Oryctolagus cuniculus: one gene and its partner. The protein of the gene in region 2 purifies or fractionates together with the protein of the main gene of each other region. This does not show direct contact. Links are inferred from orthologs where the notes say so. Each region holds a gene or a part of one and is shown on either strand. Other genes may lie near its edges.

The links.
Region 1: the proteins of POLD1 (region 2) and MMS19 purify together in Homo sapiens (affinity purification with western blotting; 3 studies listed by BioGRID and IntAct, with this or other methods). This does not show direct contact. The link is inferred for Oryctolagus cuniculus from reciprocal best matches to the Homo sapiens genes POLD1 and MMS19.

Annotation. Positions count from the first base shown.
Region 1 is NC_091446.1:32,371,257-32,376,939, forward strand, and holds part of MMS19 (MMS19 nucleotide excision repair protein homolog), read left to right. Parts: intron 1-2,622; coding exon 2,623-2,723; intron 2,724-3,336; coding exon 3,337-3,422; intron 3,423-3,753; coding exon 3,754-3,828; intron 3,829-4,204; coding exon 4,205-4,274; intron 4,275-4,663; coding exon 4,664-4,792; intron 4,793-4,878; coding exon 4,879-4,940; intron 4,941-5,371; coding exon 5,372-5,458; intron 5,459-5,683. UniProt on the Homo sapiens protein: Key component of the cytosolic iron-sulfur protein assembly (CIA) complex, a multiprotein complex that mediates the incorporation of iron-sulfur cluster into apoproteins specifically involved in DNA metabolism and genomic integrity.
Region 2 is NC_091449.1:7,460,938-7,466,620, reverse strand, and holds part of POLD1 (DNA polymerase delta catalytic subunit), read left to right. Parts: intron 1-60; coding exon 61-174; intron 175-775; coding exon 776-922; intron 923-1,001; coding exon 1,002-1,127; intron 1,128-1,201; coding exon 1,202-1,370; intron 1,371-1,440; coding exon 1,441-1,522; intron 1,523-1,593; coding exon 1,594-1,723; intron 1,724-1,842; coding exon 1,843-2,009; intron 2,010-2,102; coding exon 2,103-2,207; intron 2,208-3,527; coding exon 3,528-3,668; intron 3,669-3,741; coding exon 3,742-3,852; intron 3,853-4,273; coding exon 4,274-4,465; intron 4,466-4,557; coding exon 4,558-4,646; intron 4,647-4,748; coding exon 4,749-4,865; intron 4,866-4,973; coding exon 4,974-5,087; intron 5,088-5,269; coding exon 5,270-5,417; intron 5,418-5,683. UniProt on the Homo sapiens protein: As the catalytic component of the trimeric (Pol-delta3 complex) and tetrameric DNA polymerase delta complexes (Pol-delta4 complex), plays a crucial role in high fidelity genome replication, including in lagging strand synthesis, and repair.

The DNA of each region.
Region 1 (5,683 bases), on a different chromosome or scaffold from region 2:
CTGATTGTGCTCTCTGAAAATAAGTTACTTTTACATTGTTACCTTCCTGGAGCCTGAATTTCTTTGGTAGCCCAACACTCCCCCTCCATATCAGAAACTCAGTCTAACCTATGCTTTTTTATTTTTCTCCCAAAGAAGGGTTCACACCACCCAACCGAGGTTCCTTCAGATAGTATTTGGGAACACACAGCCTGTGAGCCACGTCAGTTCCTGGCTTAGCCTTCAGACTTGGGTTGAGACAGGTGGGTGAAGGCCATCAACTGTCATTTAATTAGAGCTGGGAGCTACTCAGCCCCCTTGTCTAGGCAGCCCAAGCTGACTTAGATAAGCTGAATTGCCAGGAGGATGACCTTGTCCCAGATCCCCACTGAGGAAGAAGGCGTGAGAAACAGAAGAGCAGTATTTTAACCTGGAATTCTGAGCAGCAGAGGAAATACACACTTATAGGCTAATGTCTGCTTTCCTCATTTCATTTGATGTAGACCAGTGAAGCTGGCAAGTCTTATTAGCAAGGGTTGTTCCCTGTCACAGCCAGCATGTCTTCTGAAACAGAAAACTAGAAAATTGGGAGAAAATAACACAAACTTTTGTGCATTCCTGACACATAACAGACTTACCTTTCTATTCACACTGTTATGACCTTGGTCCATTTTTTTTATTTTTTTAAAAAGATTTATTTATTTATTTGAAAGGCAGAGTTACACAGAGATAGAGAAAGAGAGATCTTCATCCACTTGATCTCTCCCCAAATGGCTGCAGCAACCAGGCTGGGCCAGGCCAAAGCCAGGAGCTAAGAGCTTCTTCCAGGTCTCCTGCCTGGTTGGCAGGGCCCAAGCACCTGGGCCATCTTCCACTGCTTTCCCAGGCGTATTACCAGGGAGCTGGATTGGAAGTGTAGCAGCCCTGATTTGAACTTGTGCCCATATGGGATTTCGGCACCGCGGGCAGCTGCTTTACCTGCTATACCACAGCATCAGCCCCAGGTCCATTTTTTTATAAATAACAGCTTTGGCAAGAGCATTGTGGTGCAGCAGGTTAACCTGCCACTTGTGAAGCCCGCATCCCACATTGGAGTGTCTGATTTGAGTCCTGGATGCTGCATGCTTCCAATCCCTTTTTCTGCTAATGCATCTGGAAGATAGCAGAGTATGGCCCATTTACTATCTCTATGGACTTGCCTAACCTGGAAATTTCATATAATATATGACCTTCATAATGGGCTTCTTTCAATTAACATGTTGTCAGGGTCCATCCATGTTGAAGTGTATATCAGTTCCACATTTCTTTTTTTTTTTTTTTTTTTTAACAGATTTCTTTATTTGAAAGGCAGAGTTACAAGGGAGAAAGGGAGAGACAGAGAGAGAAAGAGATCTTTCATCTGATGGTTTATTCTCCAAGTGGCTGCAATGCCAGGGCCTGAGCCAAGCCAAAGCCAGGAGTCTGTAACTCCATCCGGGTCTTTCACATTGGTGGAAGGTACCCAAGCAATTGGGCCATCTTCTTCTGCTTTCCTAGGCACATTAGCTGGGAGCTGGAGCAGAAGTAGAACTCCTGGGACTTGAATCTGTGCTCCTGTGGGATGCCAGTGTCATGGGTGGCAGCTTATCCTGCTATACCACAACACCAGCCCCAGCTACATTTCTTTCCTAACTGAATAATATTCCATTGTATAGATATGCCACATTTTTGTTTATTCCTTGGTTAGTGGATATCTAGATTATTTCCACTTTTTAGCTACTCTGAATAATGCTACTATGAGCATTTATGTGCCTTGTTCCATTTTTAAATGCTCTGAATGCACATTTTTCTACTTCTGAGTAGAAACCTTCTATAAGTTCATGTCCTAAGCATTCTGACTAGAGTCATCTAATTTTGGCCCCAATTTTCCTGATGATATCTAGCATTTTCTTTGAGGTTTAACATAACTGTGTGGCCAGCTCTCCTCCAGAAATCTGCTTCCTACTCATTCCTGGTTAAACTACTTCTAGTACGTTAAAGTATAATCTCTGTAGAGCTCTTTTGAAGACAAACCACCTTGTCACTTCAGTCCGGATTCCCCATGTCAATCGCCTAACACAGTTAGAACCTTTATTCTGGCCATCTCACTCTGTAACCTTCCAGTTGCAAAGTTTTGTGGTTTTTTTGTTTTGTTTTTTTGTTTGTTTGTTTGTTTGTTTCTTTTTCCCTTAGGCCTTTGTGGTTGTTGTCAGCATCTTTTCCTTGGTAACTTACAAAAATACATGTCTTCTCTGCCTGTCTTGGGTAAGCAGTAGCTTCCAGTCACCTCAGAAATGCTGTGTGTAGCTGCTAAGCTTTGTGTCAAAAGAACATCACAATCATAGCACTGGGGTTAAAGAGGGAGCATAGTGCCCATGCAGCACCCAGCTGGGAGGACCTGGAAGTGAGATTTCTCTTGGCTCTCAAGTGCCTCTGCTGATGCCTGGTTAGTCTGGGGATCAGGCGTCACTAGAGGGCACCATTTTTCCTGGACTCTTGTTCTTTTAACAGAACTTGGCTTTGCTTCCATGTGCAGAGGGTGAGTTTGACTAATTGCAAAATACTTACTTCTTTAGAGGTTTGAACTGGGTAATGGCAGACTCTCTCTTTACTTCCTATTTTCAGATCTTCTCTGGAGAACCCAGAACCCAGGACTCGGGCACGAGGGATCCAGCTTTTGTCACAGGTGCTACTCCAGTGTCACTCTCTGCTCCTGGAGAAGGAAGGTACTGGCATCATTAGGAGGAATGGCTTCCTGGATTACTGTACAAAGGCCTCCTGTGTCTATCCAAACCATTTTGGAAGGTGGGGTGGGGTGGCACAGGGTCTTCATTCCTCATTGGTGTAAGTATCAGATGATTAGAATCAAGACGTTAAGACATGGCTTTCAGGGACTACTTCTGCCTCTCTCTCTCTCTAACTCTGCCTTTCAAATAAGTAAATCTTAAGAGAAAGAAAAAGGAAAGGAAGGAAGGGAGGAAGAGAAAAGAAAAGAAAACAGAAAGAAGGAAGGAAGGAAAATTTGTGGGCATCAGTTCCGGAGGGAGGGAGGGAAAGAGGGAAATTTGTGGCCATCAGTTCCGTAGCTAGGCAGTTCTGGGTCTGCAAATGGGTTTGATTTTACTGTGGACCTTTGTGAAAATGGAAAGTAAGAGATGTCCCTCTGTTTTCCTGATTAATCAAGTCAATACCTTTGGTTCAGGGGGCATGGGGTATCTCTTGAAGGAGAAAAATTTAGTGCATCCCAAACTAAAACAGCCTTACAAACTTAGGGAAGGAGCAAACTAGTGGGCCCTCCTCATGGCTTTGTCAGCTAACGGCTGAATCTGGTTTGTGCAGTTGTACACCTGATCCTATTCTATGAGAATCGACTGAAGGACCATCATCTTGTGATCCCATCTGTCCTGCAAGGTTTGAGGGCACTTGTGAGTTCTTTTCATTGCTTATTGGTGACAGTGGGGCCCCCTGTCCAGTTCTGTCCTTGCTCTTTGGGGAGGTGAGGCCTCAACAGGAGTAGAGGACCAAATGTGGGACTACATTAATGTTAGTAGCCCTGTTTCTGCTTTTTATCATTTGAGCCACTGCAATTCAGAGCAAACTGGAAGGAGCTGCACAGGACCAATCAGCTTGAGAAACTCCCTCACTATTAGCATTTCCTCGTTACCCAGGATGCTGTGCTCCCCACTGTAGCTAGTGAAGCCTACTGTAGAGCTTTGTCTTGAAAGCCATGCTCATTTATCTTCCCTTCTCCTCCAGAGCCTGTGTGTAACCCTGCCCCCAGGGCTGGCCGTCTCTGTGCTTAAGGCCATCTTCCAAGAGGTACACGTACAAGTGAGTGATTAACAATCGTCTTCATATTCTCTGTCTCCAACCCATTGATATACTAGAATTAGAAGGCAGAAAGTGTTACCCTCCAAGTTGTGAACTCTTGTAGGCCTTGTGGCCATATTTATGCTTTATTCCTTGCCACCAGCTATGGAGATGGCTGTGTGCCATTTGTCTTGCACTTAGAGAAAGTAAGGCAAACCTCAGACGGGTTTGGGTTATTGGCACCACCACCGTAGTGCTGAGGCAATAGCCATACCCTAGGTCTATAGTTCCTGTTAGGTTGACCTTATACTTAGAGACTGTGAAGCAGAAAGTAGTTGTGTTAGTTGAAATATTCCTTGAACATGTTTTTCACCTACTTCCCCGTCCCCACCCCAAGTCCTTGCCACAGGTGGACCGACACACAGTCTATAGCATCATCACCAACTTCATGCAAATCCGGGAAGAAGGTAAGAGGCAGGGCTCTCTGGAAAACCTCAAAAGCAAGCATGTCATACTTTTCCCCCATTAATGGAACTCATTTTAGTCTAGGGTTTATATGGAAGAGCCGAGATTTCAAGAGAATGATAAAGAGAAACTAGAGAACCACTCTCTCCCTGGTGAAATGAAGGCAGAGTAGAGTTAGTTTGAGGCACTGTTTTAAACTCCTGCCTCTGTAACAGTGTGTGCATCGTTACACATCTAGCCAAGTACTTCTTTTGGACTAGGAAAACAAAAAGGATCTGCTCTGAAAGGCAAGAGAGGAGAGGCAGTGGTAGCAGAGGGACAGCACAAGCCCGGAGAAACCCCAAGCTTCCTATCTCATGAAACAGTAGTGACCTTGTTCTCTCCTTCCCAGAGCTAAAGGGCCTAGGAGCTGACTTCACCTTTGGCTTCATCCAGGTGATGGATGGGGAAAAAGATCCCCGTAATCTTCTGGTGGCCTTCCGTATCGTCCATGACCTCATCTCCAGGGACTATAGCCTGGGTATGTCTTGGTAGATGTGAATTAGGTGATTAGGGTTTGTCAAATAAATGAAGCTAGACAGTCAGCCTCATTCTCTGTTGCTACAGGACCCTTTGTGGAGGAGTTGTTTGAAGTGACTTCTTGCTATTTCCCTGTTGATTTCACCCCTGTAAGTAAACACCATCCTGCATTCATTCAAATACTAGTTGAGTATCTGCCATATGCTAGGCCCGGTTCTAGGCACTGAGGGTCCAGGTGAACAACAATCACTGCCCCTGTGAATCTACATTGCAGGAAACAGGCGCATGGAGAAGTATTTGACATCAGTGGAAGGTTTCAAGTCAGCATGTATTTGAGGACCTCCTTAAGCTCCTTAACCATTGTACTCAGTGCTGGGCACTATAGGATTATAAAACATGGCCCCTGCCTTTGGAGATTGGAACATTTAAGGAGCACTATGAAGTTAAGATACCAAAATGAGTAGTACTGTAGTTATTCGGAGAAGACAGAGTTTGGTGTGAGCTAGAGTAGGCAGATTCAAGTCTGTGCCCAGGAGTGTTCTGAAGAGTTATACAAACCCATGGCCCTTCTCTTTTCCAGCCACCTAATGATCCCCATGGAATCCAGAGAGAGGATCTCATCCTGAGTCTTCGAGCTGTGCTGGCTTCTACATCACGATTTGCTGAGGTGGGTTTAGGCGGGGTGAGGGTATTTAACCCATGCACATAGAAGAAAGAACAGTAAAAGTTTTTCTAAGAAAGAACAGTGAAAGCATGGGGGTAAACAAAAGATCTGGTAATGTTTTAGAATGTGACATCCTGCGAGTGTGTTGTGTGGAAGGTATCTTTAGGCCTTTGGTATAGAAAACTTATCTTCTCTTCCTTTAAGATAGTAATCTTTTTGAAATTTTGT
Region 2 (5,683 bases):
CTCCCACTCGGGGCGGGGGAGCGTGGAGCGCCAGCCCACGAGCCCTCCCCCACCCCGCAGGGCAGTTCTCGCCAGCCGCCCTGGATCCCCGCTGGCTGCGGCCCTCGCCGTCCCCGCTGGACCCCCAGACGGAGGCCCTCGTCTTCCAGCAGCTGGAGATCGACCACTACGTGGGTGAGGGGCAGGGCGCGCCCGGCGCCAGGTGCTGGGCCGGGAGGGCCGGGCCTGGGGCTCCGATGACGGCCGAGGGTTCAGCGTGGGCCGGAGGACAGAGCGTGGGGCTGGCGGGCTGTGAGGGAGTGGCTCTGAGCCGGGCGTGGCCCCGCCTCCCTCGGGCCGTGGCCCCGCCTCCCTCGGGCAGTGCTCCCTGAGCAGGGCTGAGTGGACGTGCACGCTGGAGCCCGTGTTTGGTTCCTGAAAGACTTACTGATTTATCTGAGAGAGAGAGAGAGCTCGCAATCCACTGGTTCACTCCCCAGATGGCCACAACAGCCAGGGCAGGGCCAGGCACGAGCCAGGAGCCTCATCCGGGCCTCCATGCGGGTGCAGGGCCCAAACACTTGGGCCCTCCTGCACTGCTTTCCCAGGCTGTTAGCGGGGAGCTGGACCAGAGGCGGAGCAGCCGGGACCCCACCAGCGCCCGCGGGATGCCGTGTCCCAGGCAGCGGCTTACAGCGCTCCGCCGCGCCCGGAGTCGGGGCTTTGCCGGGGCGGGGGTGGGGTCTAGGGAGGCCGCCTTCACAGAGCCTGCCCTCTCCTGTGACCCGCACCCCAGGCCCAGCGCGGCCCCTGCCTTGGGGGCCCCCTGCAGCCAGCAGCTCCGTGCCCGTGCTCCGGGCCTTCGGCGTCACGGACGAGGGCGTCTCGGTCTGCTGCCACATCCACGGCTTCAGCCCCTACTTCTATGTCCCCGCGCCCTCCGGTGAGCGCCCCCGCCCCGCCGGGAGGCCCCGCCCCGCCGGGAGGCCCCGCCCCGCGGCCCTGACCGCCTCTCTCGCCAGGCTTCGGCCCCGAGCACCTGGGCGACTTCCAGCGCGAGCTGAACGCGGCCATCAGCCGGGACCAGCGCGGCGGGAAGGAGCTGGCCGGGCCGGCCGTGCTGGCCGTGGAGCTGTGTTCCCGCGAGAGTGAGTGGCGCCGCCGGGCCGGGCGGGGCGGGGCGGGCGTCCGGCCGGCCGGTCCCAGCGTCCTCTGTCCGCAGGCATGTTCGGGTACCACGGGCACGGCCCCTCCCCGTTCCTGCGCGTCAGCCTGGCGCTGCCCCGCCTCGTGGCGCCCGCCCGGCGCCTGCTGGAGCAGGGCATCAGGGTGGCAGGCCTGGGCACCCCCAGCTTCGCGCCCTACGAGGCCAACGTGGACTTCGAGATCCGGTACGGCCCTGCCTCCGCCCGGCCCCGCCCCCAGCCCCGCCCCCCGCCCGCTGACCCTCAGCGCTTCCAGGTTCATGGTGGACACTGACATCGTTGGCTGCAACTGGCTGGAGCTCCCGGCCGGGAAATACGTCCTCCGGCCGGAGGGGAAGGTGCGGGGCTCCCCGGGGGCGGGGGCAGGGGCAGGGGCGGGGACCTCCGCCGCTGACCCCGCCCCCCGCAGGTCACGCTGTGTCAGCTGGAGGCCGACGTGCTGTGGTCGGATGTGGTCAGTCACCCGCCCGAGGGGCAGTGGCAGCGCATCGCACCCCTGCGCGTGCTCAGCTTCGACATCGAGTGTGCTGGCCGCAAAGGTCAGTCCCGGGCCGGCAGCTAAGGGTGGAGAGGGGCTGAGCGGGGCGGGCGGCGGCGAGGCCGGGGCTGGAGAGAGGCAGCGGCCAGAGCCCGCTTCCTGTGTGCCCCCGCCTCCCAGGCATCTTCCCGGAGCCCGAGCGGGACCCCGTGATCCAGATCTGCTCGCTGGGCCTGCGCTGGGGCGAGCCGGAGCCCTTCCTGCGCCTGGCGCTCACCCTGCGGCCCTGTGCCCCCATCCTGGGCGCCCAGGTGCAGAGCTACGAGCGGGAAGAGGAGCTGCTGCAGGTGCCTCTCCCCGCCCCTCCCAGCACCCCTGCGCGGGACTGGGGTGCGGGCCATTCCAGGGTGTTCCCCGGGTGACCCCGCGCCCCCGCGCAGGCCTGGTCCACGTTCGTGCGCACCTTGGACCCCGACGTGATCACCGGCTACAACATCCAGAACTTCGACCTCCCGTACCTCATCTCCCGCGCCCAGACCCTCAAGGTGAGGGCGGGGAGGGGCGGCGGCTTCCCGGGCTGTGTCCTCGTCCTGGCCGGGGCCCTGCCCTGCCGAGTCCAGCGGTCCCTTGCAGCTGGTCAGAGGCGAGGAGTGTTGCTGAGGGACGGTGCCGGGTCCTCGGTCCCTTCCCCCTGCCCGGGTCCCTGTCCAGTCCCCTACAGCGGCCACCTTGAGCCAGACTTGCCCTGATGACCTGGGCTCGCCCGCAGGGACGCATCCCGGACAGGTCGCCCTTGGGAGGAGCCGGGGGTCAGACCCTCAGTGTCCTGGGGGGCGCCAGTGAGCCTGTGCTGCTGTCTGGCCGCTTGGGTCATGAAGAAGAGACCCCGGGGCCCCCAAGCTCCAGGGAGACCACACCTGCCGGCCGGGCCACTGCGCCTGCCACCCGGTGCCACTCACCTGGGGCCTCCCAGGCCCGGCCCTGCCCCCGGCCCGTCTCCTCCACGCTGGGCCCTCTACCCCGCTCTGCAGGGGTCTCCTGCTCCTCACCCTGCAGCCTGTCAGGCCCCAGCCCCTCCTGACCCCAGCCCTTCTGTGACCCCAGCCCCCTCCCTGACCCCAGCCCCCTCCCTGACCCCAGCCCCCACCCTGACCCCAGCCCCCTCCCTGACCCCAGCCCCCACCCTGACCCCAGCCCCTCCTGACCCCAGCCCCCTGCCTGACCCCAGCCCCCTCCCTGACCCCAGCCCCTGCCTGACCCCAGCCCCCTCCCTGACCCCAGCCCCTCCCTGACCCCAGCCCTTCTGTGACCCCAGCCCCCTCCCTGACCCCAGCCCCTGCCTGACCCCAGCCCACTGCCTGACCCCAGCCCCCTCCCTGACCCCAGCCCCTCCTGACCCCAGCCCCTCCCTGACCCCAGCCTCCTCCCTGACCCCAGCCCCTCCCTGACCCCAGCCTCCTCCCTGACCCCAGCCCCTCCCTGACCCCAGCCCCCTCCCTGACCCCGGCCCCTGCCTGACCCTGGCCCCCTCCCTGACCCTGGCCCCCTCCCTGACCCCAGCCCCCTCCCTGACCCCGGCCCCTCCCTGACCCCGGCCCCTGCCTGACCCTGGCCCCCTCCCTGACCCCAGCCCCTCCCTGACCCCAGCCTCCTCCCTGACCCCAGCCCCCTCCCTGACCCCAGCCCCTCCCTGACCCCAGCCTCCTCCCTGACCCCAGCCCCTCCCTGACCCCAGCCCCCTCCCTGACCCCGGCCCCTGCCTGACCCTGGCCCCCTCCCTGACCCCGGCCCCTCCCTGACCGCGGCCCCAAGGCAGCCGCAGGGTCCCCGTGCGCTCACCTGCGGACTTGCGCCTCCGCCCCCAGGTGCCGTCTTTCCCGTTCCTGGGCCGAGTGGCCAACCTCCGCTCCAGCATCCGGGACTCCTCGTTCCAGTCGAAGCAGACCGGCCGGCGGGACAGCAAGGTGGTCAGCATCGTGGGCCGCGTGCAGATGGACATGCTGCAGGTAGGCGGGGGCCGGCGCCCAGCCCCGGGAGGCCGCGCCCGGGCCCACACCCAGCGCCGCCCGCCCCCCCCAGGTGCTGCTGCGGGAGCACAAGCTGCGCTCCTACACGCTCAACGCCGTGAGCTTCCACTTCCTGGGCGAGCAGAAGGAGGACGTGCAGCACAGCATCATCACGGACCTGCAGGTGCCCGCGCCCTCCGACCCCTGACCCCGCCCCCGCCCCGGGCCACCCCGGCCTGGAGCCCCCGCGGCCCCGCCCGACCCCGGCCTGGAGGCCCCCCCCACCGCCCCCGCGGCCCCGCCCCCGTCCACCCCGGCCTGGAGCCCCCGCGGCCCCGCCCCCAGCCACCCCGGCCTGGAGCCCCCGCGGCCCCGCCCGACCCCCGTCCTCCCCCCGACCCCCACCCTCCCCCCGACCCCCACGACCCTGCCCCGCCCCCGTCCACCCCGGCCTGGAGCCCCCGCGGCCCCGCCCTGACCCCGGCCCCGCCCCCGTCCACCCCGGCCTGGAGCCCCCGCGGCCCCGCCCTGACCCCGGCCCCGCCCCCGTCCACCCCGGCCTGGAGCCCCCGCGGCCCCGCCCGACCCCCCCGGCCGTCCCGCAGAACGGGAACGAGCAGACGCGCCGCCGGCTGGCCGTGTACTGCCTCAAGGACGCGCTGCTGCCGCTGCGGCTGCTGGAGCGCCTCATGGTGCTGGTGAACGCCGTGGAGATGGCGCGCGTCACGGGCGTGCCGCTCAGCTACCTGCTCAGCCGCGGCCAGCAGGTCAAGGTCGTGTCCCAGCTGCTGCGGCAGGTCAGTGGCCCGGCGCGGGCGGGCGGAGCCCCGGCCCCCAGGGCCTGCCCGCCCCGGCCCAGCCCCGGCCTGCTCACCGCGGCCCTCCTCAGGCCATGCGCGAGGGGCTGCTGATGCCCGTGGTGAAGACGGAGGGCGGCGAGGACTACACGGGGGCCACCGTCATCGAGCCCCTCAAAGGGTGAGGCCCAGGGCGGGGCGGGGGCGGGGCGGCCGGGGCGGGGGCGGGGGCGGGGGCGGGCGGGGCGGGGGCTCCCGGCCCTGACCCCCGGCTCCTCCCCAGGTACTACGACGTCCCCATCGCCACCCTGGACTTCTCCTCGCTGTACCCGTCCATCATGATGGCCCACAACCTGTGCTACACCACGCTGCTGCGGCCCGGGGCCGCCCAGAAGCTGGGGTAGGCCCTCCTTCCCACGGGCCCCGGAAGTGCAGGGGCGGCCCGGGGGGCTGCGGTGCTCACGCCTGAGACTCGGGGCTGAGAGGGGCCGCACCCCTGCCCCCGCAGCCTGAGCGCCGACCAGTTCATCAGGACGCCCACGGGGGACGAGTTCGTGAAGACGTCCGTGCGGAAGGGGCTGCTGCCCCAGATCCTGGAGAACCTGCTCAGCGCCCGCAAGAGGTGGGCTCCCGGCGGGCGCCGTCCCGGCTCGTGGCTCCGACTTGGGGGTGGGGCTTCCCGGCGGGGCCGCCCCCTCGTGGCCGGGTGTGCATTCCCACAGGGCACCCCCAGCCGGTCCCGCGGCCCCGCGCCGTGCCCGCAGCGTCCCCAGACCTCAGCAGCCTTTCCCCGCCCCCTCTCAGGGCCAAGGCCGAGCTGGCTCGGGAGACCGACCCCCTGCGGCGGCAAGTGCTGGACGGGCGGCAGCTGGCGCTGAAGGTGAGCGCCAACTCTGTGTATGGCTTCACCGGCGCCCAGGTGGGCAGGCTGCCGTGCCTGGAGATCTCGCAGGTGAGCTCTGCCCCAACCCAGGGCGGGGCGGGGGGGGGGGGCATGTGCATCACGGGGAGTCGATCGCCTGCCCCCTGGGTCCCGGAGTGGGGCGGAGGGTGGGAGGCAGCTGCGGGGCCCTGGGGACGAGGGAGGGATGGCAGGGATGGAGGGAAGCGTGCTCAGGGTGCAGCGGGCGGTGTGGACTCCACAGTGGACGACGTGGGGTCCAGGGCAGCGCCCGGGAAGGGAGCGGTTCTGCTGCTTGGCCGCGCTCACGGGAGGTC